3 linked regions of the Anolis sagrei genome follow. The protein of the gene in region 1 interacts with the protein of each later gene in a biochemical or structural test. Links are inferred from orthologs where the notes say so. Each region holds a gene or a part of one and is shown in the gene's direction. Other genes may lie near its edges.

Region 1 (10,112 bases):
GCTATAACAGAAAGCTATATCATTATGGGAGATGTAGTTTCACAGGGACCTTAGATTTCTCTGCCTAAGAGTGCTGGTGCCTCCCCACACGACAAAGCCCAGTGTGCCACTGCATTGGGATTGTGGGAGATGTAGTTTCAGTTTGGCACCACTTTGAATACTATAACAGAATGCTATATCATTGTGGGAGATGTAGGTTCAAAGGGTACTTAGCTTTCTCTGCCAAAGAATGCTGGTACCTCCCCAAATGACATAGCCCCATGCACCACTGCACTGGGATTGTGGGAGATGTAGTTTCATTTTGGCACCACATTGAATGCCATAGCTGAATGTTGTATAATTGTGGGGAATGTAGTTTCTCAGGGTCCTTAGCCTTCTCTGCCAACTACAAAGCCCAATGTGCCATTGCATTGGGATTATGGAGTTGTAGTTTCAGTTTGGCACCACTCTGAATGCCATAACAGAATGCTATATCATTGTGGGAAATGTAGTTTCTCGGGGTCCTTAGCCTTCTCTGCCAACTACAAAGCCCAATGTGCTTTGGGATTGTGGGAGTTGTAGTTTCAGTTTGGCACCACTTTGAATACCATAACAGAATGCTATATCATTGTGGGAGATGTAGTTTCACAGGGTCCTTAGCTTTCTCTGCAAAAGAGTGCTGGTTCCTCCCCAAAGGACAAAGCCCAATGTGCTATTGCATTGGGATCGTGGGAATTGTAGTTTCAGTTTGGCACCACTTTGAATGCCATAGCTGAATGTTATATCATTGTGGGAAATGTAGTTTCTCAGGGTCCTTAGCCTTCTCTGCCAACTACAAAGCCCAATGTGCCATTGCATTGGGATTGTGGGAGTTGTAGTTTCAGTTTGGCACCACTTTGAATGCCATAACCCACTAGTTCTCAACCTGGGGTCCCCAGATGTTTTTGGCCTTCAACTCCCAGAAATCCTAACAGCTGGTAAACTAGCTGGGATTTCTGGGAGTTGTAGGCCAAAAACATCTGGGGACCCCAGGTTGAGAACCACTGCATGACCGAATGCTATATCATTGTGGGAGACGTAGTTTCACAGGGTCCTTAGCTTTCTCTGCCAAAGAGTGCGGGTGCCTCCCTACACGACAAAGCTCAGTGTGCCACTGCATTGGGATTGTGGGAGTTGTAGTTTCACAAGCTCTTATGCCTCCTCGCAAAAAACAGGACCCCCCAGCATTAGAAAGTGGTGTCAACCCGCATCAACTCTGCAGTGTAGGCGCACCCCCAGCAGGGGGAGGGGGCAAGAGCAATCGTGGGGCAAGAGGGTTGTTTACGCAGAAGACAACACACGCAGAGATCCCTTTGGAGAATGGAGAGGCCAGCGGCCAGATCCACGAAAGTGGGGCAGCCTTTTGGGGAGGGAGAGATTGGCTGGAGGAAGGAGAGTGGCGCCCTTTCATGGCCCCCAACGCAGAAACCCGGGGAAGGGATGCGCCCAGGGGGGTCACGCGTGGGAATGGGGTGTATTGAGGGATAGGGGCTTCCTACCGTCCTGGGGCCCCAGCAGCAGGAAAGGCTTGCTCTCTTTCTCTCTCTCCGCCGCTTCCTTCCAACGCTACGGAGGCAGCGCCTGCTTCATTCCCGGGGATCCGGGCCGGCCACCCCGCAGCCTCCCAGGTTCGAGCCCGAGTCGCCAAAAAGATAAAATAATAAAAAGGGGGCTGTCCTTATAAGGGGGCGTCGTTCAAGTTCCACCCGTTTCCGGAGCCGAAGCACACTTGCTGCCTCTTCCTCTCGAGTTGGCGATTACCTGAGTCCTCCTCCTCTCAGGTGTCTTGGGAGAAGAAGGGAAAAAACACCATCACGGTTTTACGGTTCTTTCTTGGTAGGAAAATTGAGCCCCGGTCCCTAGAGCCGAAAGCCAATCCGGAGACAGCTACGTAGAAGCAGCCTGGCTCAAAAGCGAAAGGAAGGAGGAAATGAGCCAATGGGGAAAAAGGAGAGGCGGGGTTTGAAGGGGAGAAAGAGCGCGGCCTTAAAGGAGCAGCTCATTCATTGGGGCAACAAGAAGTAGAAACGCAAAACCTGCTTTTATCCCAGGCCTTTCCAGACAGCCCTATATCCCAGAATATCAAAGCAGGAAGTCCCACAATATCTGCTTTGAACTGGGTTATCAGAGTCCACACCCAGATAATGTGGGATTTTCTGTCTTGATATTCTGGAATATAGGGCAGTGTGCAAGGGCCCCCAATATCAAATTCTATATTTTTCTGAAACCACAGCCTCCTAGGGCCCTTCCACACAGCCATATAATCAGAATATCAAGGCAGATCATCCACATTATCTGCTTTGGATTATCTAAGTCCACACTGCCATATAATTCCAGTGGATTTTATACAGCATTGTTTGATCACTAACAAGGTTGGCAGAATGACCATTCCCAATGCTATGAGCCTGTTACTGAACAGTTAAGATACACTTACATCATCCCCAATTAAATCTAGAAATAGTTTTTTAAGATCTACAGAGACACTTGCTGGAACACCTCAGCAAGCGAGAGTCCAAAAGTGGCAGGCTCAAACCCAGAACCTCAACCAATGGCTGATACCAAATGAGAGACTCCCCCTGGGCACACAGAAGACTGGGCGAATTGGAAGGCACTGAACAGACTGCGCTCTGGCACCACAAGATGCAGAGCCAACCTCAAGAAATGGGGCTACAAAGTGGAATCCTCGACATGCGAGTGTGGAAAGGAGCAAACCACTGACCTCCTGCTGAATTGCACCCTGAGCCCTGCCACATGCACCATGGAGGACCTTCTTGCGGCAACACCAGAAGCACTCCAAGTGGCCAGATACTGGTCAAAGGACATTTAATCAACCACCAAACTTACAATTTTTTTGTATTTTGTCTGTTTGTTTGCTTTGTTCTGTTAGAAATGTAATATAATTGACTGGCTGCCCTGACACAACAAATAAATAAATCCCCAATTAGAATAGCTGGGGATGAAGGAAGTTGTAATTTAAGTCACTTGTAGAGTGTATGGGGTTGATGGTGAGAAGGATTGTAAAAACTTGGCTGTGGAACCAAGCTTTCGGGACAGGGCAATAAAGCAGCAATAGGAAAGATTACCAGACCAAGTAGATTTGACACAGATGACCAAGACGGTTTTGAACAGTGTATTTTAATATTGAGTTAAATGTTTTAAATGTTTATGTATGCGTATATGAATTCTTGTCCCGGCATTGAATGTTTGCCGTATATATGCTGTACTCCGCTCTGAGTCCCCTTCGGGGTGAGAAGGGTGGAAGATAAATGTTTTCAATCAATCAATCAATCATCCATTCTCTGGAGTCTTTAACCACTTTAGTTACAGTAACTGTGTTTACAAGGAAGTTATTACATTTAGTATTTTTTGTTGTTCATTCGTTCAGTCGCTTCTGATTATTTGTGACTTCATGGACTAGTCCATGCCAGAGCTCCCTGTTGGCTGCCACCACCCTCAGCTCCTTCAAGGTCAATCCAGTCACTTCAAGGATACCATCCATCCATCTTGCCCTTGGTTGGCCCCTCTTCCTTTTTCCTTACATTTTCCGCAACATAATTGTCTTCTCTAAGCTTTCCTGTCTTCTCATGATGTGGCCAAAGTACTTCATCTTTGCCTCTACTTACTTACTTACTTACTTAGGCGATCCCTCATTTTCCGAGGAGGATTGTCTTCCAGTATTCTTGTGGATCCGTATGTGGCTGTGGAGCCCTATTCTTGCTCTGCATCTTCTTCTGCAGTGAGGGCATTGGTTTCCAGGTGGAAGGCGGTCTCAGTCGGGGTTGGCTTGACGCGCCTTCCTCTTGGCATGCTTCTCCCTTTTGCCCTCCATTCATGCCTCTTCAAATTCTGCAGCACTGCTGGTCACAGCTGATCTCCAGCTGGAGCGCTCAAGGGCCAGGGCTTCCCAATTCTCAGTGTCTATGCCAGAGTTTTTAAGGTTGGCTTTGAGCCCGTCTTTAAATCTCTTTTCCTGTCCACTAACATTCAGTTTTCCGTTCTTGAGTTCAGAGTAGAGCAACTGCTTTGGGAGACGGTGGTCAGGCATCCGGACAACGTGACCAGTCCAGCGGAGTTGATGGCGGAGGACCATTTTCTCCGGAAAATCCTGCAAATCTCTTGGGAAGACAGGCGGACAAACGTCAGCGTGCTGGAAGAAGCAAAGACCACTAGCTTTGCCTCTACTATCCTTCCCTCCTATAAGCAGTCAGGCTTTATTTCCTAAAGTATGGACTGGTTGGATCTTCTCGCAGTCCAAGGCACTCTCAGAACTTTCCTCCAACACCACAGTTCAAAAGCATCTATCTTCCTTCACTCAGCCTTCCCTATGGTCCAGCTCTCACATCCGTAGGTTACTATGGGGAATATCATTCCTTTAACTATGCGGATCTTTGTTGCCAGTCTGATGTCTCTACTCTTTACTATTTTATCAAGATTGAATATTGCTCTCCTCCCAAGAAGTAAGCGTTTCCTGATTTCCTGGCTGCAGTCTGTGTCTGCAGTAATCTTTGCACCTCGAAATACAAAGTCTGTCACTGCCTCAATGTTTTCTCCTTCTATTTCCCAGTTGTCAGTCATTCTTGTTGCCATAATCTTGGTTTTTTAAAATGTTTAACTGCAACCCAGCGTTTGCGCTTTCTTCTTTCACCTTGATTAGAAGGATCCTCAGCTTCTCCTCGCTTTCGGCCATCAAAGTGCTGTCATCTGCATATCTAAGGTTGTTAATGTTTCTTCCAGCAATTTTCATCCTAGCCTTGCATTCCTGAAGCCCCGCACATCGCATGATGTGTTCTGCATACAAGTTGAATACGTTGTGTGACAGTATACCAGCCTGCCGTACGCCTTTCTCAATCTTGAACCAGTCTGTTGTTCCATGGTCATTTAGTATTAGATTGCCTATTTAAGACATTTCTACACCATCCTTCATGTCATGAACACCAGGGCATTTCATAAAAGTCAGTATATTTTTAGAAAGATGAAATAGCACAATAAATCAATTTATTTCATAACAATTAGAGTGAAAGGCAGAGTGGGAAGCCCTGGCCCCTGAGCGCTCCAGGTGGAGGTCAGCTGTGACCAGCAGTGCTGTAGAATTTGAAGAGGTACGAATGGAGGGCGAAAGAGAAAAATAAATAGGACACCAAGAGTGCATCTATACAGTTGGATTAACGCAGTTTGATGCCACTTGAACTGCCATGGCTCAATAGTATGGAGTCCTGGGATTTGCAGTTTGGTGAAAATCCAGCCCTTTTGGGCAGAGAGGAGCAAAGACCTTGTAAAACTACAAATCACATGATTCCATAGCCTTAAGATGCAGTGTTTGAAGTAAACTGGAGTAATTTTGCAGTGTTGATGCACTGATAATTTTGCATCCTAAATACCATCTGTCTTTGGTCCCTTCCACACAGCTGAATAAAATCCCACATTATTTGCTTTGAACTGGAATATATGGCAGTGTGGACTCAGGGCTCTTCTACACAGCCCTATATCCCAGAATATAAAGGCAGAAAATCCCACAATGTCTGCTTTGAACTGGCTTATCTGAGTCCACATTTAGATAATGTGGGATTTCCTGCTTTGATATTCTGAGATACAGGGCTGTATGGAAGCGGCCTTTCCTTAGCGCCCTGCTGATCACTGTTTACAGCAGGGGCGCTGTTTGGTTCCATGCGCTCCGGAAGAGGAAGCGCGACATTTGCATATTCAGGAGGAGCTCTCTTATTCATTATTCATGAGCTTTCGCGGGCTTTTGCACCATGTGACCGTCTTTCCCGCGGAATTCAGCCTGGCCCTGGGAGTGCACTTGGAGGAGCCAAGCAAGCACAGAGGAAAGCTCTGCGGATTTGTGAACCTTTATCGAAATAATGGCGGTGAGTTGGGACTGGACTTTTTTATAGAGGAAAATCCTTAAGCTTAACTTTTCTTACTTAGCATTACATTTAAAGGTTTTGTCCAAACCATGGAACTTTTTCCTCTCCTGCTTTTCCTTTGCTAGAAGCTTTTTTTTGGAAGGATTTTTGGGAGAAATCTATTGAGCATTTGAATGTTTTGTACTTTCTAGAGTTTGAAAGGGAGAGGGGTTGTGGGTGTGAATATCTGGGCTCCTGTTCAAAGACAGCAAGGTGCAGGGCAAAACTACACGCTAGGGTGCTTCTACACAGTAGGATTACTGCAGTTTGACACCGCTTTAATTGCCATGGTTCAACGCTGTGGAATCTTGAGAGTTGTAGTTTAGTTAGGCATTTGCAGTGTCTGGCAAAGCAGGCTAAAGACAGTTCCCAGGATTCCATAGCATTCAGCCATGAGAGTGAAAGTGGTGTCAAACTGCATAAATTCTACAATGTAGATGCACCCTAGGCTGTAGTTTTGTGCACAGCTACATGGAAGCAAGCCCTACCAGGGTTTGTGCGTTTCCTTCTGTTCTCTAGTCCAGGTGGAAAGTCATTTTGCAACATAAACTTTCATAAACTACAGCATACTACACCAGGCTTGGGTAAATCTGGGCCTTCCAGGTGTTTTGGACTTCAACTCCCACCATTCTTAACAGCCCCAGGCCCTTCCCTTTTACTCCTCAGCCACTTATGCAGCTGAGGGGTAAAAGGAAAGGGCCTGAGGCTGTTAGGAATGGTGGGAGTTGAAGTCCAAAACACCTGGAAGGCCCAGATTTATCCATGCCTGAACTACACTACATAACATTATTTTTGTTCCTGGGTTATAAATGGCATTTTCTAATTGGTTCAATCATAAAAACATGAGAAACGTTTATTAAACTGCAAAAACTTTGTTTTTGCGGGACCCCCTCAGCACATTTTGCTATAGCTTTTCAATGAATATCTCACAATGTCCCTAATCAATTCAACATAGTTTGTGGTAGCCACAAAAATGAAGTTTCTGGGGTATAACAACTACTTTCAAAGTAAGTGCTGCACAATTAAACAAGAAATAACACTTTCAAGCCAGGAACAGAATTATTTTTCAAATTTTGTTATATAGTGCCATAGGTTGGGTATCCCTTATTTGAAATGCTAGGGTCCAGGGGTGTTTGGGAATACAGCTATTATTAGTTATTTTGGATTTTAGAGTAGCTCTATTTGCATATGCTGTATATAATAAAATATTTTGGAGATGGGACCCAAATCTTGGAGATGGGACCCAAATGTTAATATTTGGATCATGTGATTTTAATATTTATATTGAGATATTTTAATGTTTTGTTTTAATGTTTAAATCTTAATGTCTCATGTTTAATGGTTTTAGTGATTTTTATTTATAATTATATATTAGTGCTTAGTTATTATGATTTTTCTTTTTACATGTATGTTGGCACTGAATTTTTACCACTATAAGTTGTAAACCGCCTTGCCCCCCCCCCCAGGCTGAGCAAGGTGGTATATAAATATAGGACATAAATAAATAAACAAATATAAAATTTATTTATATATGTATATCCTGAAGGTAATTTTATGCACAAACGTTTCAAAATTATTCTGTGCATGAAGCAAAGCTTGTGTACATTGAACCACCAGAAAGCAAAGGCATCACAATGTTAGCCACACATGTGGACAGTTTTATATTCTGGGCTATTTGGGGATTCTGGATAAGGGTTGCTTGACCTATACTAAGACGCCATGTCTTTGAGCTTAAAGAGTAGGCAAATTATATGCATCCCATTTGAAACCCCGTGGCTGCCTCCTGCAGAATTCTGGGGTTTGTAGTTTAGTGAGGCCCAGGTCCTCTTTGGCTCAGCATCTGAAAGGCCCCTCTCTAAATTACAAGCCCCAAAATTCTGCAGGAGGCAGCCACAGGGTTTCGAATAGGATGCATATTCTGACGGCTCTTTAAGCTCTAGCAGTGGTTCCCAAACTGTGGTCTGTGGATCACCAGTGGTCTGCAAGAACGAAAATATGCTCCCCACCATTACTACATAATTTCCTCAAAAACATGTGGCAATGAGGGTGATTGGTCTCACAAAACCCTCTTACAGTCCCGGGAGAGGCTGACTACCCATGATATATTAAAAAGTAAGTGATGGAGAAAAGCAAGGAAATGCAAGGAATAGTTGGTAAAAGTTAAGACATTCCTCACTGATGGTAGCTTTACAACTTCCTTTAGGATTCTTCCGAGTCGAACGTGGTTACCAGCCCCCAGGCTAGCTCTCGTCGAGGAGACGCCCTCACTTCCAGCCCTGGGAGAGACCTGCCTCCCTTTGCAGACGAATCGGAAGGACTCCTTGGGACTGAGGGGCTCCCAGATGAAGATGAAGAAGATGGAGAAGACCTCATTGGAGATGGGATGGAAAGGTAGAGGGCTTGCACAGTCTTTGGGTCCTTGCTGGGGCCTCTTCTTTGGGGGCAGAATGAGGGTGATGCTTGATATGGCTGGAAATTGGACATCTGTGAAAGCATGTGTTTTGAAGAGGCAAACGTTCTGTCTCTGGTTATGTTCCTTTATTTCTAAATTAAATAAGGTTTGTTTTAAATGGTCAGGTATTATGGAAGCTGAACCTTATTCCATCAGAATTTATTGTTGGAAGTAAACCTAAGAATTGGCAGTACCATTGTATTCCAGACGTTTTTAATAATAATTTTTGCTCAAGAAAGAAACGGCATAAAACAGAGATAGATAACAGTTGCTAGAAATGGTTTGAAGTTGTGATGATGTATATTAGCTCTGATGTGAGATAGCTCAAGAACTTGGTTGAGTGTTGACTGTGGCCTTCGAAGCCTGTTTATCAGCTTCTCATAGCCATCTGATTGGCCTCTGTGGGTGAAAGATTGCTCTACTTAAGAGGCAGTCCTTCTGCTCAGTATTTTTTACGGTTGCCTCCTCTCACCCAGCTGTAGCAATGTTATGCCCAAGCGTCCTGACTACAGATCCACATTTCAATATATATTGAAAGTTGTTTCCAAACTGATTTGCAAGATGAGCATCATGATACTGATGTTCCCAGATGTTAATTATATGAGTCTACATCAGGCATGGGCAGACTTTGGCCCTCCAGGCACGGGCAAACTTCAGTCCTCCAAGTGTTTTGGACCTCAACTACCACAAACTGGGAGTTGGAGTCCAAAACACATGAAGGGCCAAAGTTTGTCTATGCCTGGTCTACACTAACCATACAGTGCAATTTCAAACTGCATGATATGGCAGTGTAGATACAGTCTCAGAAAGCTATCTTCTTCTTTTAAAGTCTTTTGATTGCACCCATGCTTTACGGTACCCAGTATCTTTCCATTCTGGTATAAGATGTTTTTATTAGGGTATGGTTTTGAATATTGCGGTGCACCACATAAATTGATGCTTTTATGTAAAAGAAATGTCAGTGGTACTTGTAGAATGCTGCACCACTTATAATAATTATCTATGCACATGTCCCAAGGATCTGGTATATACAGTTATTCTTAAAGACCTTTTCAACATACACATGAGCACTCATCGAGATTGATCAATGAGTGTCCATTGGAATCAGTCGTTTATGTCATGACTTGACGTGAGGCAAATGCAGATGTCATCTATGAAGTGCAGGCTGAGACTGTACAATTGCAACTGCACAGTTCATGCCCGAAATTCTTATGAAAGATAAGATCTCACGTGTGAACATCTCATGGGTTTGGAATGAGAGGATGGCAGTGTTTCTGTAAAATAAGTGATGTTTTCATATTCACTCACACTATGCCGTGCAGTCATTGAGCTGTTGGGGCCAGAGCCTTAAAGCAAATGTAATGTCATCGCTAAAGCACAGCATAGTCTGAGCTCTCTGTGTGGTGTCTAGGGATTACCGGCCTATTCCAGAGCTGGATGTCTATTCACCGGAAGGGCTGGCCCAGGATGATGAAGACGTGGAGGAACTGACGGCCAGTCAAAGGGAGGCAGCAGAGCGGGCCATGAGGCAGAGGGACCGCGAACTGGGCCATGGCTTGGGCCGCATGAGGACTGGTCTGCTATATGGTATGTTTGCAATCTTTCTGGTGCATAATCATTTAGTATTGGAATTCATCCCCACACTGCCCAAGTCTGCAGTCCTCAGTGAGGATTCGTTAGATTAGAATCAACTGAGGGAACTCCACCCCACACCCGGTCTCCTGTATGACAGCTTG
Region 2 (10,211 bases), on another chromosome or scaffold:
AGTTATTCCTAATGTTCAGGTGGAATCTCCTTTCCTGTAGTTTGGAGCCAGGGCAGCAGAAAAGAAGCTTGCTCCCTCCTCCCTATGACTTCTCCTCTCATATTTTATACGTGGCCCTCATAATGTCTCCTTCCAGCCTTCTCTTCTGCAGGCTAAACATGCCCAGCTCTTTAAGCTGCTCCTCATAGGGCTTGTTCTCCAGACCCTTGATCATTTTAGTCACACTCCTCTGGACACATTCCAGCTTGTCAACATCTCCCTTAAATTGTGGTGCCCAGATAGAATGGGCTTTAAGTATAGGGGAATAAATGTTAGTGGAACCTGAGATGCCTCTTGATTGTACAAATATTTTGAGAATGGGACTTGGAAGAAAGACTATCCCTTGCTCAAGGTTGTTAAGCTTGCTGGGTATGTTCCATTCAGGATTTCCTATACTAAGTAGGGGATTAGAAGAGATGGCCTACAAAGTCCTTCTCTAATGCCGTGAGTCTCGATGTAATAGGCTTTGGATTTATTATGAAAGTACAATTATATTTGCTAGGAATCAGAATACAAATGGAGTAAGGCACAAATATAGTTTCCAACCTATTTGTTTCTAATCTTGAATCATGAGAGGTTTTTATTTTTCATTTGACTTAAAGAGGATTCACCATTATTAACAATGCACAAAGTGAAAATCCCCACAGGGGATGGATTAAAAGGCATTTTGCAAATCTCTGCAAACTACAGATTATTGCTCATCACACTTCCTGGTGTTTAAAAAATCAGGCTAATTCAATGTTTGTATTATTTGGTGTCCAGTTTGTATTTTCTTTCCTAATAAGGGACACTGTGGCTTCCAGTTGTTGTATCTTCCATTACTTGTCCCTTTTTGGCTGCTGTCTTAGCACTGGCTTCACGGGATATTTTCAGATTTCCGTGGCCATCTTACCCTTCCAGTGAGGAGTATCTCAATATCTATTTGTGACTACTGGGTTACAATCCTAAACACATTTGCTGGAGAGAAAGCTCTACTGAACCCAGTGGGACATGCCTATAATAGGATCATTATCTCATTTTTAGAATATGCCTGTTAAAAATAACACTGACATATTAACAGTGTGCTAAGTGACCTCAATTGTCTTTTCTTACCCAAAACTGAAGTAATAAGAGCACCACAACAAGAACAGACTGCTTGCTGAGACGTTGTAATGCTGTATAATCCATCTTCTTTCTCTTCAGAACCCATAATTTATTCCTTGAGAAGCATAACCTGATTAAAAAAAATCAATATATATATATGTGTGTGTGTGTTTGTGTAGACTCTATTAATTGGAATTCAAGCAAATGAAATTATCAAGCAACCAGCAAAAGTTTACTGGCTACCATTTCACAAAATTTGCATACTGCATTCACAAAGCTTTTTTATAGAACAGTGAAGCTGTGTTAAATTAGTTAGGTTTCTCTCTTTGCATTCAATTACGGTACTTCAATATTAACAAGTCAATACAGAGTTTTTGGTGTGATATAGTATGGGGTACAGTATTAATTAGGTTTATTTTAACAGTAACTCTCAGACAACCAGAAACTACATTTATTAGGCATCTGCCAATACTCCTTAAGTGCTGATTAACTTGGAATCTATGTATACATACACATAAGCCATTTGTAAGCCGCCCTGAATCCCCCCTCGGGAGTTGAGAAGGGTGGGATAGAAATACTGAAAATAAATAAATAAATATACACACATATGTGTCTGTACACTCCCCACCTAAATGGTTTATCACTCATTTAGGTGAATTTGAAAGGAAAAGTTCTCTCTGAAACATCTGAATATGAGTTACTTTCTCAACCTAATGATTATTCTCATTGTGTATAAAAACGGCCCAAGAAAAATCAAGCGTATCCCATAATATCAAGAGATAGAGAATACAGTCTGTCCTTTTATTTTATTGAGATTGGCCACTGCTCTCCTACTGATTTCCTGGCTGTAGTGAAAAGTTTGCCCTTGACATTAAGTCTAGTCGTGTCCAACTTTGGGGCCTGGAGCTCATCTCCATTTCTAAGCTGAAGAGCCAGTGTTGTCCGTAGATGCTTCCAAGCTCATGTGGCCTGCATGACTGCATGAAGTGCTGTTACCTTCCTGCCAGAGTGGTACCTATTGATCTACTCAAATTTGCATGTTTTGAACTGCTAGGTTGGCAGAAACTGGGCCTAATAGCTGAAGCTCACCCTGCTCTCCGGATTCGAACCTCTGACCTTTCGGTTAGCAAGTTCAGCAGTGCAGTGGTTTAACCTACTGTGCCGCCAGGGGACCTACACATAGATACATAGCGATATATATATATATATAGAGAGAGAGAGAGAGAGAGAGAGAGAGATGAAGTCCAAGTATAAACAATACATTCATTTATCTCTGATAGACACCATACACACCAGGCATTGTGGGTGTTGAAAGTCCAGAACACCTGGAGGGCCCAAGTTTGCCCAGGCCAGATATATATCTTGTGAGATACCTTGAAATGAGATCCAGGTCTAAATACTACATTAATGTATCTTTCATAGACACCACACACAGATACATTGCCATATAGATATTATCTATCTATCTATCTATCTATCTATCCATCCTTGGAGATGAAACTCAAGTGTAAACAATACATTCAGGTCTAAATATTACATAAATCTATCTTTCATAGACACCATACACACATATAGATACATTGCCATATATATGCTATACAAAACCTTGGAGATGAAACTCAAGTGTTAATTATACATTCAGGTCTAAATACTAGACCGGGATTGTGGCACAGCTGGCTGAGTGTCAGCTGCATTAAGATCACTCTGACCAAAAGGTCATGAGTTCGAAGCCAGCCCGGGTTGGAGTGGGTTTCCAACCAATTGTGTGTAGCCTGTTGTCGACCTTTGCAACTCGAAAGACAGTTGCATCTGTCAAGTAGGAAAATTAGGTACCACCTTAAAGTGTGGGGAGGCTAAATTAACTGATTTATGAGGCCATAAAGAAGACTCCAGCAAAGCATTCCAGCGGGGAAGCATGCAGGGAATGCGGAAGTGCTTCATCAGCGTCGCAGATGGACGATGAAAGCGACAGCTCCCCTGGCGGCCAGAAAAAAAGTTAAATAGCCTCTGTGTATGTCTGAGTCAATATAAACGTACCTTTCAAACTGCTAACTACCTAAAAATGCAAATACCAAAACATCACTCGAGCCAGATTTGATCAGCTCGAGACAATGGTTAGATACAGGAGATTTAACAGCATCCCTTATAATGAACGAAGTTGTATCTGCGGGACACCTGAAATTGAGGATATAGCACACATATTTTTTGATTGCAAATTGTATCAAAAGGTGAGAGACTTCCACCTTGGTCCATATATCAAACGGACAATGTATTGGGATTCTCACATCAGAACAACATATTTTATGTGTGGCCAAGACCCAGAAATAACATATAAAACAGCTCTGTACTTAGGCAAAACAATACGTCTGAGAACCACATATGTAGGGCTGATTGGGGTAAATTGTAGGGGTGATAATGAAATATGATGTATATACTCAGCTTGATCAGTTTTATCATGTCTTATCATATGTATTTACTGTATTATTATAAGTGTCTTATTTTAACTTTCTACGTGGAGTGTGATCAGGTCTTGTCAGGCCTTGTTGTTCTGTTTCTTATTGTGATATAGCCTAATGGCTAATCAATAAAATTACTACTGCTACTACTCTGTGTATGTCTGTATATGTTTGTATGTCAAAAATTGGCATTGAATGTTTGCCATATATGTGTACACTGTAATCCGCCCTGAGTCCCCTGCGGGGTGAGAAGGGCGGAATATAAAAGTTGTAAATAAATAAATAAATATTTTATAGACATCACACACACACACATTAGCATATCTATGCTACATATAACCTTGGAGATGAAACCCAAGTGTAAACAATACATTCATTATGTATCTCTGCCTATGAACCCACCAGGACTTTAAGATCCTCTGGGGAGGCCCTGCTCTCGATCCCGCCTGCATCACAGGCACGTTTGGCGGGGACGAGGGACAGGGCCTTCTCAGTGGTGGCCCCTCGGCTGTGGAACGCCCTTCCCATGGACATTAGATCAGCCCCCTCGTTAATGGTGTTTCGAAGAAAACTGAAAACCTGGCTATTTGAACAGGCGTTCGGAGAAGCAGTGCAATGAATATAGGAAAACGGAATTACGGATGACGAGTTGGATCACGATTCTAGTTACGAGATGTTAATGTGTTGTTTATTGATGTTAATCATTTAGTATACTACGGTGTTAATTGTTTTTAAATAGTGTATGTTGTTAGAGCCCCCGGTGACGCAGTGGGTTAAAGCACTGAGCTGCTGAGCTTGTTGATCGAAAGGTCGCAGGTTCGATTCCGGGGAGCGGCGTGAGCTTCCGCTGTCAGCCCTAGCTTCTGCCAACCTAGCAGTTCGAAAACATGCAAATGTAAGTAGATCAATAGGTACCGCTCCGGCGGGAAGGTAATGGCGCTCCATGCAGTCATGCCGGCCACATGACCTTGGAGGTGTCTACGGACAACGGCTTAGAAATGGAGATGAGCACCACACCCCAGAGTCAGACATGACTGGACTTAATGTCAGGGGACTACCTTTACCTTTACCTATGTTGTTAGCACTGAATTTTTGCTCTTGTTGTTAACCGCGTTGAGTCGCCTATGAGCTGAGAAACTGCGGTATACAAATAAAGTAAATAAATCAATAAAATTAATCTTTCATGGGCACCATACACACCAGGCATTGTGGGAGGGCCCAAGTTTGCCAAGGCCTGCTGTATATGCTCATATACAGGTAAACATGCCAACATCCCAAGTGTATCCCAAGTCCCAAACATTACTGGAGCATTTTGGATATGAGGGATTCCTCCACTTCAGGGGCGGCCAAGAGAAGGGTTACCTGGGCAACTGAGAGGGAGAGGAGCCGGGCGAGGAGGCCTCTGAGAGGCGAGGCTCCTCCTCTTCCTCGCCGCCCTCCTCCTCCTCCTCCTCCTGGGCCTTGAATTCAGCCCAACCAGAGCGCCAGGCCCCGCCTCGGAGGCTGCTGGTAGGCCCAGCCCGAGCGAGGCGGGAAAGGCGAGGCGCCGAATGGCCGAGCGGCGGAGCAGAATCCCCTCAGCGGCAGCGGCGGCGGCGCCATGAGGCTGAGGTGACGCCGCTTTCAAACGCCAACCGCCCCTCCGCCGCCGCCGGGAAGCGCGGGGCTGGAACGGGCGCCTCACACCAGGCGCTGCCCCCGGGGAGAAGGCAACGTAAGGCCCGGGGCGGGGCGGAGGCCTGAGGGGGGGGGGCGCAGCAGGGCTTGGAGGCGGCGGCGGCGGCAGAGAAGTTGCCCCGTTCTTTAAATGGACACCCCGCCTCCCCCCACTGAGTATTTCATTCTTCTTCAATCCTCTCCCCCATATTCAAGCCTTCTCAAGTGTGTTCATGAGAATCTCTTTCCTTTTCCTTTCAGGTCGCAACTAACCGTCGCAGGGAAGTGGGCCGAGAAGAAGATGTGACTTCCCAGGAAAAATGAAACCAAGTGGTTTGAAAAGCAGCAGCAAAGGACAGTTCCCCTGTAAGTGTGGTTGGGGCCTTCCTTCCTTCCTTCCTTCCTTCCTTTCTGCTATTCAATATCCCCTTCCACACAGCTGTATCAAACCACACATTACTATTATTATGTTACCGACACAAAGTAGTAGTAAAGTTTATTACGGTCGAAGACCAGATCACAACATGGGGACCCAGTCCCGTACATTCACATCAAACCCAAGGGGTTGTACACTTTAAACTTCAACAAATTTTAAAATCGAAACTAAAAACCAATACTGGTCCAACGGGCAGCAGCCAGGATGTTAACTGGGGCTCATTACAGAGAGAGGTTCAAGGAGTTCCACTGGCTGCCGTTTATTTTCTGAGCCCAATTTAAGGTGCAGGTGCTTACCTACAAAGCCCTAAACGGTTTGGGACCATCCTACCTGCGTGACCGTATCTCCGTTTACGAACCCACGCGCTCACTTCAGTCATCCGGAGAGGCCCTGCTCGTGATCCCGCCAGCGTCGTAGCCGTGTTTGGTGGGGACGCGAGACAGGGCCTTTTCTGTGGTGGCCCCCCGACTCTGGAACACACTCCCAAAAGATCTTAGATAGGCCCCTACATTGGCAGTCTTTAGAAAGAACTTGAAAACCTGGCTGTTCCGATGTGCCTTTCCAGAATAGGAACCTCCAATAACAAGTCCCAGAACTAAGATTGCTGCACACTGCACTTAACTTACCCTATAATCCTTACATATCACCTGTCACATCAGCACTTTTAATCCTGTACCCATTACTCTGGCCCGGCCCAGTTTTATAGTGTCTTGATGTATTGTTTATTGCTTGTTGTTTAATATTTGCTTTAATTGTTTTTAATTTGCTTTAGGTGTTGTATTGTTATGTTGTGTTTTGAGGCCTTGGCCTTTGTAAGCCGCATTGAGTCCTTCGGGAGATGCTAGCAGGGTACAAATAAAGTTAATAATAATAATAATAATAGTTATTAAAACCTAACTTAACCCACAAGTTCATCCAACGCAGTCTAAAGAGAGGTAGTGGGGATGGCACCAGGGAGTGGGGGAATATCCAACTCTATAATATCAGACTATATCTGATTTCTCATCTATATTCCAGAGGAGAAGCTTAGGTCTTTTAACCCTCAATCATCGTCCGCCGAATTTTAATTGCAGCCGTGCAGAACTTAGCGATGTTGTACGTCACAGCCGAGTTTGTGTCTGAGATCAGCAGATCTACATAGAATTGTCCAGAGCATCCTGGATATTTAATTGTACATGGTAAGATGAGATGAGATCGAATGTCTCTATAAAACAGGCACTGGAGAAGCACGTACTGACACAAAAGCACAGTATGTCACAGCAAACGAGATCTGTATGCTGGATTTCGTATCACAAAATCACAAGTCTAACACTTCCCAAGCGTCTAGGACTGTGTGATTTATTTTCGAATGATGTGCACAGATCCAAGTAAGGTGGCCTTTTGCAGCTGACAGATCGTGATTTTGTCAATGTTTATTGTTTCCAAATGCTGGCTCAGATCTTTTGGCACGGCACTCAGTGTTCCGATGACCACTGGGACCACCTGTACTGAATTATGCCAAAGCCTTTGCAGTTTGATTTTGAGGTCTTGATAGAGGTTTTCCTGTTGTTTTTCCTCAATGCGACGGTCATCTGGTATGGCGACATCAATAATCCAGACTTTTTTCTTTTCCACAATCATGATGTCTGGTGCATTGTGTTCCAAAACTTTGTCAGTCTGGATTTGAAAGTCCCACAGTATTTTTGCATGTTCATTTTCCATGACCTTTGCGGGTTTATGATCCCACCAATTCTTTATTGCTGGCAGGTGGTACTTGTGACATAAGTTCTGGTGAATCATCTGGGCCACAGAGTTGTGTCTTTGTTTATAGTCTGTGTGATTTTCTTGTAACAGCTGAGGTTTCATCAGCTTTTTGGGTAATCTGGTTTTTTTTTTCCAACCCTGGCCTTAATTGCATTGCTTCTGATGGCTTGCTCCTGGGCTGCAAGAATTGGGCCTTCCGTCTCCTTCTTCAGTGTTCCATTCATGAGCCATAACCAGGTCTTCTCCTTGACAACTTTTCCTTCAATCTTCTCAAGGAACTGCCCATCCAAGGCTTTATTGTGCCAGCTGTCAGCTCTGGTTTGGAGTGCAGTTATCTTGTACTGACTCTATGTCTGCTGTGCTTTGAGAAGTTTCCGATTATTGATTTCAATTAAAGCAGGTTCTTGGTTCTGTATCAAACCACACATCATCATTATTATTATTATTATTATTATTTCCAATATTTATATTCTGCCCTTTTCACCCCGCAGGGGACTCAGGGCAGATTACAATTCACATATACATGGCAAACATTCAATGTCATTTAGCCAGACTACATATATACACAGACATAGAGGCAATTTAACATTCCAGCTTTCTGGCTTCATGAGGGTATGTTCGATTCTAGCCACTTCACCATCCACTTGTGTTCCTTTGATGGAGTTCGTCCTCATTCTTACGCACACTGCTGGAAGATATTATGGCATTGCAAATTAGTTAAATTGGCCTCCTAAATTCCTCCTTGACAGCTACAACTGTCTTTCGGGCTGCATAGGTTGACAGCAAGCTAGACTATTAATGGTCAGGAGCTTACTCTGACCCAGGCTGGCTTTGAACTCATGACCTATCGGTCAGTGGTGATTTAATGCAGCTGGCTACTAACTAGCTGTGCCACTGGATTCTATGGCAGTATGGACTCCCAGTTCTTCCCTGCTGATTGAACTGGGGCCCCTTCCACACAGCTGAATAAAATCCCACATTATCTGCTTTGAACTGGGATATCTGAATCCACACTGCCATATATCCCAGTTCAAAACAGATAGTGTGGGATTTTATTCAGCTGTGTGGAAGGGGCCCCAGTTCAAAGCAGATATTGTGGGATTTTCTGCCTTGATATTCTGGGTTGTATGGCTGCGTGGAAGGGCCCACAGCTATTAAAGACATCTGATGGGAAACTTGGGTCCCTTCCACACAGCCATATAATGCAGAATATCAAGGCAGATTTTGTTGTTGTTGTTTATTTGTTCAGTTGACTAGCCCACGCCAGAGCTCCCTGTCGGCCTTGGCCACCGCAGTTCCTTCAAGGTCAAGCCAGTCACTTTAAGGGGTTTTTTCCCCGTGTCAGGAGCGACTTGAGAAAGTCACTTTTGGTTTGAGAGAATTGGCCATCTGCAAGGACGTTGCCCATGGGACGCCTGAATGTTTTGATGTTTTATCATCCTTGTGGGAGGTTTCTCTCATGTCCCCACATGGGGAGCTAGAGCTGACAGAGGAAGCTCAATTGAGCTCTCTTCAGATTCGAGCTTCCAACCTGTCAGTCATCAGTCCTGCCGGCATAAGGGTTTAATCCACTGCGCTACCAGGGGCTCCACTTCAAGGATAACATCCACCCATCTTGCCCTTGGTTGGCTCCTCTTCCCTTTTCTTTCCATTTTCCCCAGCATCATTATCTTCTCCAAGAGTTTCCTGTCTTATCATGATGTGGCCAAAGTACTTCATCTTTGCCTCTAATACCCTTCCCTCCAGTAACAAGTCATGCATTATTTCCTGGAGTATGGACTGCTTTGATCTTGCGGTCCAAGGTACTCTCAGAATTTTCCTCCAACACCACAGTTCAAAAACTGTCTATCTTCCTTTTCTCAGCCTTCCTTGTTGTCCAGCTCTCAAATCCATAGGTTACTATGGGGAATACCATTGCTTTAACTATGCAGACCTAATTCATTTTAAATACATTTAAAATTGCATTTAAAAGCTAAATACCCCCAATTCCACCCATAACCTCCCCAACAGAAAATGTAACTCAAACTTTCCAAAAAGTTTGAGGCCCTCGACCTTTCAGAAGAGAACTGTTCGTAACAAAACCTGTTCTTCCCTGCCCGCAAATACACAACTGATGAATTTGCCTCTAATTTTCATTATTTACTCATAAATGAGGCAATGAATTGGAGCTGGAGGCATACAGGGATTTCACAAAATCCCTGTAGTTTTGTTCCAGTATCTTTGAGGATACCAAAATCTGAAAACTATGGCATGGTGAACTGTCAACCTTTACATAAAATGGCAAAATTAAGATGTTTCTGAATTAGGTTGTATGTTAGGGTGATTTAGTTTCTCTACAGAAAGTTCGCTGGGATATTTATCCAGCTGAAATGATCCTTAAGCAGTTTTCCATGATTTTTGTCACGCCTGTTGACTTTCGCTTTCCATTTCTGATATGAGGTCTTTGTTTTGCTGAGAGCCTGCTTGGAGCTTTTGATTGTTGTACTGGATCTCCTGGTGATCAAGTGTTAGGCATTCATGAGGAAACAGCAACATCAGCAATGGAGGAAAAACATGTTGCTGATGTCAGTTTTGAATTACACTGGCAGGAATATGGTCCACGATGCTTCGTGGTTTACACAATCACCATGCATACCAAGGAGAATTTGTTTGAACCATGGACTGTGAATCCCCTTGAGTCCCCTTCAGGGTAGAGAAAGGTGGTATACAAATACGGCAAATAAAATACATACATACATACATAAACAAGGAGAATGTATTTCCAGTGCTAGTTCAATTGCCTTGTTGGATGGAGTGAA
Region 3 (10,544 bases), on another chromosome or scaffold:
ACCATTCTATATTTGTGGATTTCATTTTTCATGCTTAGATGTATACCTCACATTTATCACTTTTGAAATTCAGTGTATTAGTTTTGGCCTAACACTTCAACCTTTTTTAGCCTTATCAGATCGGGGTCCGAATTTGCATGTGTGCATATCCCTGAATCTTCCCACCATTATTCTTATTATTTAAATTGTTGGGTTGACAAGGAGCGCAAGGAACAGGAGGCTGTCACATAGCAATTATTCACATAGCTATTGTAACAATTCTTTATACCTGATTTAATGTCTTCAATATCATATTTTTAGAAATTCAGAAGAACACTTTATTCAAGTCATGACCTGAATGACTGAACATAAGGGTATGTAGCTATAAGCAACATTTGGCTATTTAAGGGAACACTGAATGAATTATATGTTTTTATTCCAGTCTACTTTGGGGTGTTTTAAATGGTTTTATCTGTTCCAGTTAATCTAAGGTTACTTAGGGCCTTTCCACACAGCCATATAACCCTGAATATCAAGACAGAAAGTCCCACAATATCTGCTTTGAACTGGGTTGTCTGAGTCCACACTGCCATATAACATTTTATTCAGCTGCGTGGAAGGGGCCTCAATGTTGTTGTTTGCTATTTATTGTTTGACTAACGTGGAATATTATTACATTTTCGCTTTTATTTACTAAGCCGCATTGAGCAGAGAAATTCTAAAAAGTGGAATAGATTCAAATACTGACTTCATATAATTTACCATATATCCCCTTTTCTTTCATAAAACGTCATGCAAAGTAACCTAGTAGACATTTGCAACAAAGAAAAGATACGCATTATGAATATTCTGAATAATTAAATACAGCATATTAAATACAACATATTATTGTATAATCTAATTGTCCTTTGATCACCATGCCTCAAAACCTATGGTAAATGCAAAGTGACACATAATTTACTTTGTTGAATCAGGTCCCTTCTACACTGCCATGCACAGTAATCCAGATTATCAAAGCATTATCCACATTATCTGCTTTGAACTGGATAATAAGAGTTTGCACTGCCTTATAATCCAGTTAAAAGCAGATAATCTGGATTTTATATGGCAGTGTAAAAGGGACCTATTTCTGAATCTACACTATCCTGTATCCCAGGATATGATCCCAGATTATCAAATTTGAACTGGTTAATATGAGGCCCCTTCCAATATTCCCCTTTGAGGAAAATCTCCACCGTTACCTTTTGCTCATGGAGGAGGGAAGATCAGCAGTATGTTGTGTTCCTTTCTGTCTGGTGCACTTTCTGGGTGCCTGCTTGCCTTCCTTCTTCCTTCCTTCCTTCCTTCCTTTTCTGCCTTGTGTATGCCATGTGTGACCTCTTCTTCTTTCCCTTCTTCCTTCTTCCAACACTGAAGGAAGGGAGTGCCCCCAGACACCACCTCCTTCCCCCCTCCTTTGGTTGACTCCAAGGGCCATCTAGTCCAACCCCCTTATTTCTGCGATGTAGCTAAAGCACCCCAGACAGATGGCCATCCTGCCTCTGAATAATAATAATAATAACAACAACAATAAAATAATAATAAAGAAAAGTTGTTCCTACTCTGTGTTACTTATTTAATTGTGTAGTCCTTACTTTGAAAGTAGTTGTTGCTCTCCAGAAACTTTGTTTTTGTGCACCCAAACTCTGGGCCCTTCCACACAGCCACATAACCCAGAATATCAAGCCATAAAATCCAACAAGGTCTGCTTTGAACTGAGTTATCTGAGTCCACACTGCCATATATTCCAGTTCAAAACTGTGTTGTCGCACGGTGGGCCTGTGCATTAGATTGTAGACAGGACATACATTCTGTGTGCCCAACGGGATGCTGGGGCTGCCTCAGATCAAAGGCCCTTAGATCCCCCCAAACAGAGTCTTTAGATTGCTTAAAGTAAATCCAACAAAGTTCTTTATTGATGGAAACAAACAGGTACTTTAAAGCTTTCTTAACAGTCTATTGGCTCTTGCAATCTTGTTCACTGGGAACAGGCACTATCTTCTTAACTGTAATTAACTAATGGGGAAATCCTTAACTTCTAATCTGGGCAGTTTGTACTTGCCTCTGTTGGCGTGTAGCCCCTGCACCCGGTACCAACTGCGTCTGGCTTCCGTGAGCGACCCTTACCAAGCAGAGCTTTGTAGACTTCCAGGGGAAAAGAAGGAGTTCAGGTTGCTGTGATGGCTGGCTGAAGTCCCTCCGCAAAGGAGCTGTAAGGCTGTAAAATCCTCAGCCAAGCTGTGGGGCCTTTTCTCCCCGGCCAAGCTGTAGGCTATATATCTCCCCGGCCAAGCCGTAGAAGACGAAGCTTTCTACAGGAGCTCTTGGAGTTATGTCCTGCATGGAAAGCTGCTCTGTGTGGACTGACTCAAAAAGGCTCCTATTCCCTCCAAAACTCAAAAAGGGGTGGGACCAGGGAACCTAACGATAATTGACAGGTGGCTTGCCCTATGATTGCAAACTATAACAGGAAGGCACCCTGCTGCAAAATCCCAAGCCTGGGATTGCAAACAAACATTTAATGCAAAAGCAAACAGAATTGGAGCTCCTGGTACAGTTGTACCTGCACAAAAACAGATGATGTGGGATTTTATTCAGCTGTGTGGAAGGGGCCTATGTTAAATGGGTGGAAACTCTACAACGTTTCTCAACCTGGGGGTCAGGACCCCTTGGGGGGGGGGGTCATGAGTGGGGTTTCAGAGGGGTCACCAAAGACCATTAGAAAATACATATTTCTGATGGTCTCAGAAACCCTTTTGGCAGAGAAGGCTAAAGATCTCTCCACCTGCCCTTCTATTCGTTTTTGATATTGGTGACCGACAACTCCCAGAATTCAGAAACAGCCCCCAAACCCCAACCCCACCAGTATTCAATGTTGGCCATGTAGGTAGTGTGCCAAGTTTGGTGCAGATCCATTGTGGACTGGGTTCAAAGTGCTCTTTTATTGTAGGTGAACTATAAATTCCAGCAACTACAACTCCCAAATGTCAAGGCCTACAATCGAAGAGCATTCTAAATCCCACCAACGATAGAATTGGGCCAAACTTCCAACACAGAACACCCATCACCAACAGAATATACTGCATTTTCTGATGGTCTTTGACAACCCCTTTGACACCCTCTCACGACCCCCACCCCTGGGGTCCCAACCCCCAGGTTGAGAAACACCGCTCTAGCAAGATGTCCCTCCTGCAAAATAAAAGTTTTTGCAGTTTAACAAACTTTTCCCATGTGTTTATGATAGAACCAATTAGGAAATGACATTGATAACCCAGGAACAAAAATAATAGTCCAGGAAAGATGTTTCTTGGGTTGTGGTAGATTTTTTGGGGTGTGTGGCCATGTTCTAGAGGTGTTTCAGATTGGACTATTGCAATGCGCTCTATGTGGGGCTGCCCTTGAAGATGGCCCGGAAACTCTAACTGGTACAACGGGTGGCAGCCAGGCTCCTTACTGGAGCAAACTATAGGGAGCATACTACGCCCCTTTTAAAACAGCTTCACTGACTGCCAATAAGTTGCCGAGCCAAATTCAAGGTGCAGGTTATGACCTATAAAGCCCTAAACAATTCGGGCCCCACCTATCTTCGTGATCGCATCTCCCTCTATGAGCCGTCGCAAACTAGGTTCCTGCGGGAGAAAACCTTGCTAGCAAGTCCCTGACGTCATGAGCCTGAGCCTCTCTCCCCGCCCCTTTCTCCGCCCCTTTCTCTTTGCCAGCGTGGTTTTTCCTTTGCTAGGGCAGCATTGCCCGCATTTTCTCTCAGTTGAATTCTGCCAACTGAGAGAAAATGCGGGCAATGCTGCCCTAGCAAAGGAAAAACCACGCTGGCAAAGAGAAAGGGGCGGAGAAAGGGGTGGGGAGAGAGGCGGAGTCTCGTGACGTCAGGGACATGCTAGCAAGGTTTTCTCCCCAGGAACAGAGTTTGCGACGGGCCTTAGAACCAATGCAAACTTTAAGATCTTCCAGGGAGGCCCTCGATTCGCTCCCACCACTGTCACAAGCATGGTTGGTGGGGATGAGAGAGAGGGCCTTCTCAGTGGTGGCCCCCTGCCTCTGGAACCCTCTTCCTGGAGAAATAAGACAGGCCCCGTTGCCCCCTCCTTTTGTAAGAGCCTGAAGACCTGGTGGTTTAAACAAACCTTTGAGAACGACTAGTTCTAGCTCTGCCCCAGACACTGTTGAAAGTGGCCATATCTTTTTCTACCAATTACCCAGGTCACTTTCTTCTATTAGGCCCTGGAAATGTACAGCCATAGACTCTACCTAATTTCCTCGGCCCACTAAAATCGCACTAGCCTGGCCTGGCTTTTTAAACTGCCTTGAACAGGCAGAATTATTTTAAATATATGTGCTATTGTGGTTTTTTAAGGCTCATATTGTCTTGGCATAATTTTATGTTTATACTGTTTTCTTTGTATGTATTGATTATGTTACTTGGAAACCGCTCTGAGTCCCCTTGGGGAGATAGAGCGGTATATAAATAAAGTTTTGTTGGGTTGTTGTAGGTTTTTCCGGGCTATATGGCCATGTTCTGGAGGCAATTTTTCTCCTGACGTTTCGCCTGCATCTATGGCAACATCCTCAGAGGTAGTGAGGTCTGTTGGAAGTAGGAAAATGGGTTTATATATCTGTGGAATGACCAGGGTGAGACAAAGGACCCCTGTCTGCTGGGGCAAGCTGTGAATGTTTCAGCTGATCACCTTGATTTGCATTCAATGGCCTGGAAGCGCCTGGGGGGAATCTCTTGTTGAGAGTGATTTTATGTGCCTGTTTGTTTCCCCTCTGTTGTTTTGCTGTTGTAATTTTTGAGTTTTGTAATACTGGTAGCCAGATTTTATTCATCTTCATGGTTTCCTCCTTTCTGTTGAAATTGTCCACATGCTTGTGGATTTCAATGGCTTCTCTGTGTAGTCTGACATGATGGTTGTTGGAGTGGTCCAGCATTTCTGTGTTCTCAAATAATATGCTGTGTCCAGGTTGGTTCATCAGGTGCTCTGCTATGGCTGACTTCTCTGGCTGAAGTAGTCTGCAGTGTCTTTCATGTTCCTTGATTCGTGTTTGGGCAATGCTGCGTTTGGTGGTCCCTATGTAGACTTGTCCACAGCTGCATGGTACACGGTAGACTCCTGCAGAGGTAAGAGGATCCCTCTTGTCCTTTGCTGAACGTAGCATTTGTTGGATTTTCTTGGTGGGTCTGTAAGTGGTTTGTATGTTGTGTTTCCTCATCAGTTTCCCTATGCGGTCAGTGGTTCCCTTGATGTATGGCAAGTTTTGTTGTTGTTTCTCACAAAGAAAACAGGGGAGGGACAGTGGGTTGAACGGCAAATAGACTGAGAACTCCTGAAAGAAACAGATAATTTGCTACTGTGCAATGGGATGGAGATGGGAAAAATCATCCCTTTAGTTTCAAAACGGAGCTGTATGGTAATCTACACTTCTAAAGACTTGACATGCTCATTGGGGTGAAGTCTCTATAGCCCAGAAAGCAGTTCCTTCACAAACTTCCTTGTAGAAGGGCCTTATTTGGAGCGTGGGAGGGAGGAGGAGGAGGCTGAGAGAGAAAGAGGCCTTGCTTGTCTTTGGCCGGCTGACAAGGCGGACTCCTCCCTCCGCGGCCGACAGGGGGCGCCGTTGCGACGGACAGCGCGGTTTTTTGGCGCCAAAGGAGGCGGAGAGTCAGCCGGAGAGGCGCCGTTGTTTGAAAGAAAGGGAAGCCACCGAGTGAGGAAGCGGGCGATCAAGTGAGTAAAAAAGCCGAGCAAAGAAGAGGAACGATGGGGGAAGAAGACAGGACAACTCTCCCTCGGAGTGGCGGGGTGTGGAGACCCGAGAAGCACTTTGCTGGGCCTCTCCTCCCCTTCCTCGCTTGAGCAGAGGCCTCTGTTTTCAGTGTTCCATACTATTTAGCACCATAACGAGCAGCCATGGGCAAACTTCAGCCCTCCAGGTGTTTTGGACTTCAACTCCCACAATTCCTAACAGCCGGTAGGCTGTTAAGAATTGTGAGAGTTGAAGTCCAAAACACCTGGAGGGCTGAAGTTTGCACATGCCCGATACAGAGTATATATAGCAACTTTTGAGAAAGTTGTTACAACATCGAAGGCCTTTTTGACTTTTGGCCCACTTTGTTTTAAGGCTCAGTCCTTCATAGCTCTAGGAATCAAAGCCTTAAAGGCACCAGGCCCCGTTTGGGAAGAGTTAAGCCATTTTGACATTACTGACGCCACTATGACTCAGTGCTAAGGAATTGTGGGAGTTGTCGTTTACAAAGACTAATCTTCTCTGCCAAAGAGTGCTAGTGCTTCATCACCAAACTACAAATCCCAGAATTGGGTAGCATTGAGATATGGGTGTTCAAGTGGTGCCAAACTATTAATTCTACATTATATATCAGGGAGTTGTAGTTTACAAAGACCTACATCTTCTCTGCCAAAGAGTGCTAGTGCTTCATCACCAAACTACAAATCCCAGAACTGGGTAGCATTGAGACATGGGAGTTCAATTTAATTCTACATTATAGATCAGGCATGGGCAAACTTCGGCCTTCCAGGTATTTTGGACTCCACCTCCCACAATTCCTAACAGCTTCAGACCTTTTCCTTTTCCCCCTCAGCCGCTTATGGGAGGAAAGGAAGGGGCCTGAGGCTGTTAGGAATTGTGGGAGTTGGAGTCCAAAACATCTGGAGAGCCAGAGTTTGCCAGTGCCTGTTGTGCCTTGCATTCTATTGAAGCCCAGTCCCCCTCCCAAGAGCGACAGAGCCTCACACCATATTTGTGTGTCTATTGACCACAGTTATTTATTTATTTATTTAAAACATTTATATTCCGCCCTTCTCACCCCGAAGGAGACTCAGAGCAGAGCACAGCATATACACGGCAAATTTTCAGGGCCTGGATACAATACATAAACATTAAAAAACATTTATCGAAATATTAAAACACACTATTTAAAATAACACCATTTAAAACCGTCCTAGCTATCCGCATCAAATCCAATTGGCCCTGTCATCTTTCCCATTGCCGCTTCATTGCCCTGTCCCGAAAGCTTGGTCCCACAGCCAAGTTTTTACCATCCTTCTAAAGGACAGGAGGGAGGGGGCCGACCTGATCTCACCAGGAAGGGAGTTCCATAGCCGGGGAGCAATCACCAAGAAGGCCCTGTCTCTCGCCCCCACCAATCGCGCCTGTGACAATGGTGGGACGAAAAGCAGGGCCTCCCCGGAGGATCTTAATCTCCGTGATGGTTCATAGGGGGAGATCCGTTCGGACAGGTAATTTGGGCCAGGGCCGTTTAGGGCTTTATAGGCCAAAGCCAGCACTTTGAATTGTGCCCGGTAGCAAACTGGCAGCCAGTGAAGTTGGCGTAACATGGGAGTTGTATGCTCCCTGTATGCCGCCCCAGTTATTAACCTGGCTGCCTCTTGTTGAACTATTTGAAGCTTCCGAGCAGTCTTCAAAGGCAACCCCACATAGAGTGTGTTGCAGTAGTCTATTCTAGACGTAACAAGAGCATGGACCACCGTGGCCAAGTCTGACTTCCCAAGGTACAGGCGCAGCTGGCGCACAAGTTTTAATTGTGCAAACGCTCCCCTGCAACCTGGGATTCCTTTTCTTGTCTTTTCTTGCTTGGAAACTCTCCAGGGGCTGGAGGATCAGCACGCGTCTATGGACCACTTTGCTGCCTTGTCTAACTAACCTTTATACAGTGTGCTGAGAGAAGGGAGCGAATTTCTTTCAGTGTGTTTAGACTTGAAAACTTGCATGTAAATCCAGAAGAGAATTTGACCCTGATTCTGAACTTCTGTGGCTGCTTTCAGGTAGCATTACAATGGAGGCAGCTCATCAGATTGAACATCCTCCCATGCACAGTGAAGACCCAAGTAAGAAATACAGCCAGAACAAGAAGCTATCAGGTACACACTTTAACACATCTTTCCTCCCTCCAAAATCTTGTAAATTCTTCCTTTCCTGTTATAAGGCCTCCACCTGTTTTCTTGGGACCCTTCCATACTCATATTTTGGCATAAGATACTTTAAAAACAAACTGTACTTTTTATTGATGATTTCATTTATGCGTTAGTATAGAAGAACTTGTAGCAAAGCGGGACATTTGGAATACTTGGTTGATTCAAATTTACAAGTTAATCCTTACTTTGGTTTATCAAAATATTTGCTTTTTAAAAATTCTTAATTGTATTCTGGGTTGATGGGAATGCCTTGGAGCTTAAAAAAATAATGAGTTGCAACAAATGTTTGTTGTCTGCTACTGGAAATGATAATTTTCTCCTCTCCCTGCACACCTTGTATGTCTGATCTGGAAGGCAGATAATAGTGGATCGCAGGAGAAGAGCAATGGAAGGCCCACAGTGTATGATCTATGATGTCAGACAGCTGACATAGATTTGGAAGAGACCTCGTGGGCCATCCAGTCCAACCCCCTGCCAAGAAAGTCACATTCAAAACACCCCTGACAGATGGCCATCCAGCCTCTGTTTAAAAGCCCCCAAAAAGGAGCCTCCACCACCGTCTTTGGCAGAGAGTGCTACTGGTGAACAGTTAGGAAGTTCTTCCTAATGTTCAGGTGGAATCTCCTTTCGTGTCATTTGAAGTCATTGCTCCACGCCCTAGTCTCCAGGGCAGCAGAAAACAGCCTGCTCCCTCCAACTTATGACTTCCTCTCACATATTTGTACATGGCCATCATTGTCTCCTCTCAGGCTTCTCTTTTGTAGGCTAAATATGCCCAGCTCTTTAAGCCGCTTCTCACAGGGCTTGTTCTCCAGACCCTTGATCATTTTAGTCGCCCTCCTCTGGACACATTCCAGCTTGTCAACATCTCCCTTAAATTGTAGTGCTCAGAATTGTACATAGTGTGATTCCAGGTGTGGTCTGACCAAGGCAGAAGAGAGGGATAGAATGACTTCCCTGGATCTAGACACTAGACTCCTGTTGATGCAGGCCAAAATCCCATTGTTTTTTTTAACTGCCGTGTGACATTGTTAGCTAATGTTTAACTTGTTGTCCATGAGGACTCCAAGATCTTTTTCACACATACTGCTGTTGAGTCAAGCGTCCCCCATTCCCAGGCATCATATTATAAAAATGAAATTATTCAAAGTTTTGAAAATGTTTGCCATGAAATAAGATTTGGGTCTGTTAGCAAAGCAGAGGTCTAGCCCCACCTGCTTGGTCTCACACTGTGAGAGCATAAAGTGCTCTCTAGTCATTGGTACATACGTGCCACAATTTTGGCTCATGCGCTGCTATCTCCTAATGTTCTCCTTTTCTTTTTGGTGTACCATTTCTCCTCCTTGCCCAACTCTAATTATTACTTCAACTTCTGTCCAGCTTGCTCAGGAGTAGCAGGAAATACATCTTTTATTATGGAGGCCACTCTCTGGAGTGAAGGGTCCAGTGTACCTCTCACATTTTTGAAAGCCTCTTACCCTACATAAGGCTTTGGTCATCACAGTGTTTTCCAGCAAAACTTTGGTGTGCTCCTTTGGCCAGTTGCCTTCAGGTTTGGATGGACCTGATATCATTGAAACACTTCATGCTTGATAGTGGAACAGCACAAGGACTGTTGTAACATCTTAGAAACTAATTCAGAGAAAGAAGCTTGTAGGATTGTTTTTCATCAGATGCTCTAAGGCCCTTCCACACAGCCATATAACCCAGAATATCAAGGTAGAAAACCCCAGAATATCTGCTTTGAACTGGAATATCTGAGTCCACACTGCCGTGTATCCCAGTTCAAAGCAGATAATATGGGATTTTATTCAGCTGTGTGGAAGGGGCCTAAGTGAAGTGTCTATGGATAGACATTTCTATCTATGAATAGTTAGAGTGTAATGACACAGACACACACTACCCCTTCATGGGCACAAATATTTGTCAACAAGCACTTCATTCTGTGCATCTGAGTAAGTAGTCCCTGTCTACAAAAGCTTACATGACAATCTTTTCCCTGTCATTTAGTCTCAAGACTGCTGTGGCGCAGTGGGTTAAACCCCTGTGCCGGCAGGCCTGAAGACTGACAGGTCACAGGTTCAAATCCGGAGAGAGGCGGATGAGCTCCCTCTATCAGCTCCAGCTCCCCATGCGGGGACATGAGAGAAGCCTCCCACAAGGATGATAAAACATCAAATCATCCGGGCGTCCCCTGGGCAACATCCTTGCAGACAGCCAATTCTCTCACACCAGAAGCAACTTGCAGTTTCTCAGGTCGCTCCTGACACGACAAAAAAAAAAGTCTTAAGAAAAATGTTACAAGATCCCTTTCTGTTCTGATCCAGATTAACATGGCTATGTCTTTAAAGGCCCACAGTTACTATACCTCTTTAGCCAAAACACTATTTGAGAAATGTAGTAGGGAATATTGTTCAATCTAAGTAAGGCGTCTTGCCTATGTTGTCTGAGTTTTTACAGGAAAATACAATATAACATCCTTCCTATGCCATCTAGTGATAGGTTTATGAAAAACAGCAACTAGTAAATTCTTGAAAAAAAATGTGTAGTTTCTGA

Evidence for each region.
Region 2: of the proteins of MCM2 (region 1) and DBF4, one has a biochemical effect on the other in vitro, tested with the Homo sapiens proteins (3 studies listed by BioGRID). The link is inferred for Anolis sagrei from reciprocal best matches to the Homo sapiens genes MCM2 and DBF4.
Region 3: of the proteins of MCM2 (region 1) and CDC7, one has a biochemical effect on the other in vitro, tested with the Homo sapiens proteins (8 studies listed by BioGRID). The link is inferred for Anolis sagrei from reciprocal best matches to the Homo sapiens genes MCM2 and CDC7.

What each region holds. Positions count from the first base shown.
Region 1 is NC_090022.1:55,026,045-55,036,156, forward strand, and holds the start of MCM2 (DNA replication licensing factor MCM2), read left to right. Parts: upstream 1-5,757; 5' UTR 5,758-5,879; coding exon 5,880-5,885; intron 5,886-8,127; coding exon 8,128-8,315; intron 8,316-9,787; coding exon 9,788-9,963; intron 9,964-10,112. UniProt on the Homo sapiens protein: Acts as a component of the MCM2-7 complex (MCM complex) which is the replicative helicase essential for 'once per cell cycle' DNA replication initiation and elongation in eukaryotic cells.
Region 2 is NC_090026.1:104,609,446-104,619,656, reverse strand, and holds the start of DBF4 (protein DBF4 homolog A), read left to right. Parts: upstream 1-5,127; 5' UTR 5,128-5,292; intron 5,293-5,495; 5' UTR 5,496-5,554; coding exon 5,555-5,600; intron 5,601-10,211. Other genes in the region: mitochondrial glutathione transporter SLC25A40, read right to left, coding at 1,132-1,228. UniProt on the Homo sapiens protein: Regulatory subunit for CDC7 which activates its kinase activity thereby playing a central role in DNA replication and cell proliferation. Required for progression of S phase.
Region 3 is NC_090024.1:150,720,040-150,730,583, reverse strand, and holds the start of CDC7 (cell division cycle 7-related protein kinase), read left to right. Parts: upstream 1-5,653; 5' UTR 5,654-5,762; intron 5,763-7,838; 5' UTR 7,839-7,849; coding exon 7,850-7,934; intron 7,935-10,544. UniProt on the Homo sapiens protein: Kinase involved in initiation of DNA replication. Phosphorylates critical substrates that regulate the G1/S phase transition and initiation of DNA replication, such as MCM proteins and CLASPIN.